Nothobranchius furzeri: one gene and its partner. The protein of the gene in region 1 interacts with the protein of each later gene in a biochemical or structural test. Links are inferred from orthologs where the notes say so. Each region holds a gene or a part of one and is shown on either strand. Other genes may lie near its edges.

The links.
Region 2: the proteins of gckr (region 1) and gck form a complex in vitro, tested with the Homo sapiens proteins (2 studies listed by BioGRID and IntAct, with this or other methods). The link is inferred for Nothobranchius furzeri from reciprocal best matches to the Homo sapiens genes GCKR and GCK.

Annotation. Positions count from the first base shown.
Region 1 is NC_091754.1:55,298,231-55,302,798, reverse strand, and holds the start of gckr (glucokinase regulatory protein), read left to right. Parts: upstream 1-1,622; 5' UTR 1,623-1,909; coding exon 1,910-1,924; intron 1,925-4,568. UniProt on the Homo sapiens protein: Regulates glucokinase (GCK) by forming an inactive complex with this enzyme. Acts by promoting GCK recruitment to the nucleus, possibly to provide a reserve of GCK that can be quickly released in the cytoplasm after a meal.
Region 2 is NC_091757.1:56,107,158-56,109,706, reverse strand, and holds the end of gck (hexokinase-4), read right to left. Parts: coding exon 2,453-2,549; intron 2,369-2,452; coding exon 2,221-2,368; 3' UTR 516-2,220; downstream 1-515. UniProt on the Homo sapiens protein: Catalyzes the phosphorylation of hexose, such as D-glucose, D-fructose and D-mannose, to hexose 6-phosphate (D-glucose 6-phosphate, D-fructose 6-phosphate and D-mannose 6-phosphate, respectively).

The DNA of each region.
Region 1 (4,568 bases):
CAGTGCATCACCATAAAGTCACAGCCCTCTACAGAACGTGCAGTTTTCTAAGTGAGCCCTAAAAACATTTTCTTAAAAAGGGCAACACGATTAACGTTGTGTTAGCCTTTTCTTGCTCGATGCAACATGGTGTGAGAAATATCCCGGCTGTCGTGTCCCTGATAGAGATTAGCCAGCAGTTCTGCTAGACGGTGGTGGGAGTTTGGAGGAGTGATGAGATGTATCAGACTCCACAATCTGCTCTGGTGTAAAAATTTTCACACTGCAGAGAATCATTTGGGTCTCTGGTGCACTGAAGATTGAAAAGCATGTTTTAAACTCTTTTTTTAACATTGCTGATATGATTTACAAATCTATTACATCTCAAGTTTTCAATATAATTTCAGGGGTTGGTTATTGTTAGAAATAAAGGAATAAGGCTGTTGCTGTTTTTTTTCTAAGCTTTGTTTTTACAAGCTGGTTCCCAAAGTCAGAGACTCTCTTGGTCAGCTTGCTTCTCACGCCAAACCCTCTGTCAGGAATCTTGGCGTGACCTTTGACCCAGCTCTCACCCTGGATTCTCATGTCAGTTCTCTTGTTCGCTCCTCCTTCTTCCATCTCAGGAACATTGTAAAGCTGAGTCCCATTCTGTCCCGCTCTGAACTTGAGACAGTTCTCCACACCTTCATCTCCTCACGCTTAGACTACTGTAACTCTCTTTTCACGTGTCTGAGCAGAACCTCCCTGAACCGTCTACAGGTGGTTCAGAACACCTGTGCTCGGCTTCTGACCAAGTCCTCCAAACACACCCACATCACCCCGCTTCTCCTCCAGCTTCACTGGCTGCCAGGCAACTTCAGGGTTCATTTCAAGATCCTGGTTCTGGTCTATAGGGCCTTACATGGACAAGCACCATCTTACATTGGTGATCTTCTTAGTCCAGGGGTGTCCAATCCTGGTCCTCGAGGGCCGGTATCCAGCATGTTTTCGTTTTAACCTGTTTCAACACACCTGATTTTAATCAGCAGGTGATTAACAGACTTCTGCAGAGCCTGATGAGCTGCTGCACAGGTGATTCAACCAGCTAATCAAGCATGTTGAAGCAGAAAAACCACAAAACCTGCTGGTTACCGGCCCTCCAGGACCAGGATTGGACACCCCTTTCTTAGTCCCTACACCCCCAGCAGGTCCCTGAGGTCCAGTGATCAAAGCCTACTGGTTGTGCAGCACCAGGCTAAAGACCAAAGGTGACAGATCATTTGCTGCTGTGGCCCCGAGACTCTGGAACTCTCTCCCCCTGAGCCTGAGATCAGTGGACTCAGTGGTCTCCTTTAAAAAGCAGCTGAAGACTCACTTGTTCAAGCTGGCTTTTGTATGACCTTCTTCACCACTCTCTCTTTATTCTGCTCTCCCCACCTATTCCACCTTCCTCAGGATCCACTGATTTCCCTCTTTCCTATTCACTCTCTCTCTCTCTTTACATTTTTTAATCACAATTGTCTATTTTTTGCTCATTTTAAATATATTTTAATCATTTTCTAAATTCTTTTTTATATTTTACATTTTTTGTTTTTGTGGAGCGCCTCGTGACTTTTATCTTGAGAGGCGCTATAGAAATGATTTCTTCTTCTTCTTCTTCTTCTTCTTCTTCTTCTTCTTCTTCTTCTTCTTCTTCTTCTTCTTCTTCTTCTTCTTCTTCTTCTTCTTCTTCTTCTTCTTCTTCTTCTTCTTCTTCTTCTTCTTCTTCTTCTTCTTCTTCTGTCAAAGGTCAAATTGTGAACTTTGCGTCCAAAGACAGAGGAGTGCCTTTTATTGCTTTTCCTTACAACCTAAGCTAACTGAAACAGAAGGAGACATTTAGTAAGAAGTGCAACTTCTGAGAAGAGAGGACAGCCCCACTTGCAACAGCAGAATTTATGTGTTTTTAACAATGTCTGAATGGGAGGTGAGTATACAGGAAACAAGCTTTCGATGGACTTGAACTCTGTGACAGTTTCCACTTTTGCTTTAATTTAACAATCAGATTATTTGGATTCAGCCAACTTCAGATAATGTAAATAACAGAAGTGTATGTGAAGCTTTGAAAGTTCCAGGATTTATAAGAAGATGCTGACTCATCTTGACTTGGTCTGACACAGTGGACTGAGCTTATGACATGCATGACATGACATGCATCGACTGGATTTGACTTGACTTTAATTGACATGATATGGCATGACATGAATTGATTTGACTTGACATGACATGACTTGATCTGGCTCAACTTGACACGACATGACTTGCTCTCAGTTGACATGACATGATTTGATTTTACTTGACTTGACGTGGTTTGGCATGACATGACTTGATCTGACTTGAAAGGACTTGATCTGTCTTGAATTGAGATGACATGGCATGATCTGACTTGAGATGACATGACTGGATCTGACTTGACTTGACATGACATGATATGACATGACATGAATTGATTTGACTCTACATGACATGACTTGATCTGGCCCAACTTGACACGACATGACTTGTTCTGACTTGACATGACATGATTTGATTTTACTCGACTTGATATTATCGAGTCTTGCTAGTGAGTTTTTGCAATGAGCCAGCCCTTAAACTATGGCTGCAGGAAGATGGTATCATGGTTGCCAGGTGGAAATGATCAAGCAGACCCAGGTGAGAATAGCTGATGGATAAAAGTGGAAATTCAGAGTTTTTTTCAATGTGCTACAGAGGCGTGGGTTCTCTGTTTGTTAGCCGTTTAGCTAGCTGAGCAAGGATTCACGGGAGGTGTCTTGTAGCCTCACCTTAGTGTAAAATTTCCCAGAATATAGTGTGCTATTTTCAAAAGGATGGCGGATCAGGAGCCTGGAGCTACTTTGGGGGCAAATGTTCTGTTCGAATGTAAGTCAACTAATTATAGCTATCGGGCTGATATCATGTCTAAATGTATATATTTTTTTAGATCCAGTGCAGTTATCTATGGTTGCTTAGTAGTTTCAGCTTCGGTGGCTAGTGGGTAGTAACTCACTTATCTATTTAATTTAACCAGTATATACACAATTTAAAGGGACTTTACGGAATTTTAAATTTTTATGCTCGTGATTGCCCCCTCAGGCCAAAAGCGTAACGGCAGCTTCAATAGTAGGCTCGTGCACGAGGTGCGCATGCTGTACGTGCACACTCCTTAATGAAAATAACAGCTGAGACAGTTCTGTGTGTGTGTGTGTGTGTGTGTGTGTGTGTGTGTGTGTGTGTGCGGCCCGGAGGACAGAGGACAGGAGAACACGCAGCTAATTAATTAAATAATTTGGTTCTGTACCTTTCTCTTCAGCACAGCCGACAAAGGTTTATGATGGGTCAGTCCTCCTGCATGCTCAGATCATTCCCTTCCCTTGCTTGAAAAATGGTTTCAAAATGAAAGTTGAACCCACATCTTTTTTATCTGTGAATTCAATGCCGTTCGGCGAGTCTCAAATAAAAATTTGGGCATCTTACTGTAAAAAAATATATTATTAATGTAAAAAAGAAACTCTAAATAAACGATGTTCACACCCAGAATCAAATCTTCTGCTCGAGAGCCCAACGTCTTACTGGGTGAGCTAAAGCGCCAGTGACATCCTTTGTATCTGTAATATTTATACCCTTGATGACAGCTGAAACAACGTTCAAAGAACAGTTCGGAGCGAAAATGGCTATTTTGTTGCTAATTTGCAGGAAATATCTAGAAGAAAGTTCTACAGAAAGTAGCTAAGGGTCCTCAGAAATGTAGCTAGCTTTGTCACTAGGCGTTAGGAAGAGCGACAAAGTGGCACTGCCTCTCTCTCTGCTGCTAAAGCTACGAATGGCAAATGCTCCGGGCGATGCCTGAGCGTGAACGCGCATGAAGCAGCCTGCTCGACCCGAGCATCTCTCTTTTTCTGTGATTTTACAGAAAAATAGGCAATCACAGTAAAAATGCCAGGGCTCATTCTACAGGACCAGGGCATTGCAGGAGAATGTATGAAGAAGACATTTATTATTTCTATACATGTTTTGGCTGTCAAACTTTCATAATGCCCCTTTAAAAAGTAAAAGGCTCGTTATACATAAAATATAACTTAATCTCACGTGTCCCGTGAGGTAAGTTTGTTCCATTAAACCGATTTCTTTGATCAAGGAAGGACAGTGTCCTCATAGGCAAGGCGTCTGGCCTACCAAGACATTGCCTTATTAGGCCAGATGCCTTGACACTGAGGAACGCCCTTAGACCTGCTCCCATGTATTTTAGACGCAATTTTTATAGTTATATGTTATTCTATATAGAAATTATATTTTCTTCTTCTTCTTCTTCTTCTTCTTCTCATGAAGCCGCCAATATTTTTCAACAACTGGGCATCATTTCATTCATTTTCAACATAATTTCGATGGATATTTCCAGAGATTAACGGTAAAAACTACACATTGTCTCTTTAACAAAAAGTCAAGTTTTAAGCTAAGAAAGCAAGAAAATTGGTTTTTGTCCAAATGTATTTGGTTTTGCTCTTGAAGAATTCAAAATCTCACATTATAGAACAAATAACGTGGTAATAAAGTGAATAAATACAGGGATAAAA
Region 2 (2,549 bases), on another chromosome or scaffold:
TTCAACAGCGCAGAGCCAGGCCTCCAATTCCGACACCCTCGCCTCCAAAGCTACAAAAATGCTACATTTATTACACGTACCATTATCACTAAAGGAGGCAGAGGAGAACTAAACATCTGACACAGAGAGCAAGATATAGGAGACAGACAGGCAGAGACAGAAGTAGCCATAGCCGTGATGAGGCTAAGCTAACTGGACGAGCAAACTGTTCAACACCAAATAAACTGCGTGGGAACTCAAATGGTTCCCTAAAAGCTAAGTGGAACAACAGAAAATGTGTGTTTTAGCATGCTAATGTGCTACAATAACTCAGAGATATCCTAGTACAGAGTAAATAAATCAGTTTTAGCGAGCCCCAAACACCAAACAGCTACACGTAGTGCACTGGAAACAGGAAACGCCTTACTGCCAGGGAGATGCAGCAGCATTCAACACTCATAGGTTAGAAGACGTTCAAATTATTTCATGTTTGGCCTATTTGTTGTCAACTGAAATTATAAATAAAGATTTCAATATTTCAATCAGAATATTTTATTTTATTTACTGTACAGCCTATACAAAACACACTTTATAAAAGAAAAAACACAGAACATGTTGAGGTTTTAAATAAACATAACAAAACACATTTCTTTCCTCTCAAACACAAATTACACAACAAATTATTGAATCTGATTCTGTCAAGTCTACAAATTTACAAGGTTTTTGTGTTTATATCAAGCCCCCACAATGCGGCTCAAAAATTGAGTCAAACCCGGAAGTACCAAAAATTGCAGTTCCACCCTCATCCACTAGGGGCTGGTGTCAGAAGCGAGCAAATCCTCATTGACTCCCATGTTAAAAATACCAATTTCACAGCAGAAATAAACATGTTTACAGCCTGGTACCAAAACATGTTTTTGGTTTAAATGATCTAGTTTACACTCATGACAACTCTGAGGGGGGTGAATTTTTTCTCACTCTTCTGTTTAAGTGTATTAAAAGCCTAAAATTCTGTATAATTAATGAGCATCAGACCCACGTGACCACAGAGCTAGCTCCGTGGAAAGGCCTCAGTAGAGCCTCGGTCTGGCCTGGAAACTGCTCCGGGATTTTTGAGTCTGTGTGTGTGTATTCTTTTTTGGATATTTTTTGTGCAATTGTTGGACAAAATGACTTGCTGTGGCATTAATTGCACTAATAGAGCGTCCAAGGAGTCTCCACTTCATTTTTTTCGATAAGTAAAATTATATTTATGTATTTTAGGTCACTGCCGAGCGGAGCTTAGATTTTAACATGTACTGTTTAACCATGAAATGTAAATGTAATAGGGTAAACCCAGTGCATTTAACATAATGCTGCACTTTAGAAAATGGGTTGAAAAATAACATGTTGGTGGAGCTGGGTTCCCACTATCGCCTTGTGGAGCTCTCGAGAGACCGATGTTTTCCACCCCTCCCCGCAGCCCGGCGCATCTCTGTCTGATCGCGGCTTCTGTCTGCTGTGCGGCTGCCGGCTTTCAGCAGCTTTCGGGAGACCTCTGTGTTCCTCCCGGTTTTACCCAGCGGTCAGCCCGGCGTATCTCTGACTCAGAAGCTCTGGTGTTGTGCACAGTTAACTCCAGTTGTAGCTAGGTTGCTACCTCCGTTAGCTTAGCTCCCACCTCCGCGTTAGCTTTGGGTTAGCTTCAGGTTAGCTTGTAGCTAGTTCGACTGGGTGTCGTCAGTTGATCCCAGCCTAGCCACACCCTTAGCTCCACCTCTCTTCCCTTTTATGGAATTGTCTGGGCTTGACGGAATCTGTGACACGGTCAAAATGGCGGTGGTGGCCACCTCCCATTTCTCCTCCAAAACGTGTTATTGGAGCCTATGGAAATGAACTGTCCAATATATATGTCGATGGTTTATATGCACAACGTTCCATATTATATAATCTGTTTTTGAATGGATCGTTTTACCACCAACTGGAAGTAACTCCTCCCAAAAGCACACCTAAGACGAGCTTTCATGCTTCCTATTGTTAAAAATACAAGAGTAAACAAAGTCTTACAGTTTGGAAACATTAAAGTCTCCGTTGTTGGTATAGTGTTACTAAATAAAGTCTATTATACAAACACTTTGATGCTTCCTTGTCCAGTAATTAGTACCCAGTTTGGTCCCTCTCAAGCTTTAGAAAGTGCATCAGGATTTCCTCCTCCAGCCGGAGTCGAGACTCGTTCCATCACTCTCCAATGCAAATCCATCTTCACTGTGTCAGCATGTAAGCTGCCATCTTACAGGCCACAGCCGAGATGAGAGCTGCTCCCCGTCCGCTGCCCTCCTCCGATTGGAGGAAGGTGATGTCACAGTGGGGGGTGAGCTCCCGGACCACTTTGTGGAAACGGTCGCAGAAACTTAAACACAGAGACAACCGGTTCGTCAGTCACAGAAGAGTCTCGCTTCCGTCCACTCTAATAAATCCTCTCACTGATACTCACTATGGGTGCAGCTTGTAGACAGATCCGTCAACCCCTACTGTGATCTTCAGGGTGTCCTGGCGGCGCTGCTCTCGCATCTGGTTGATGATACCAGCGA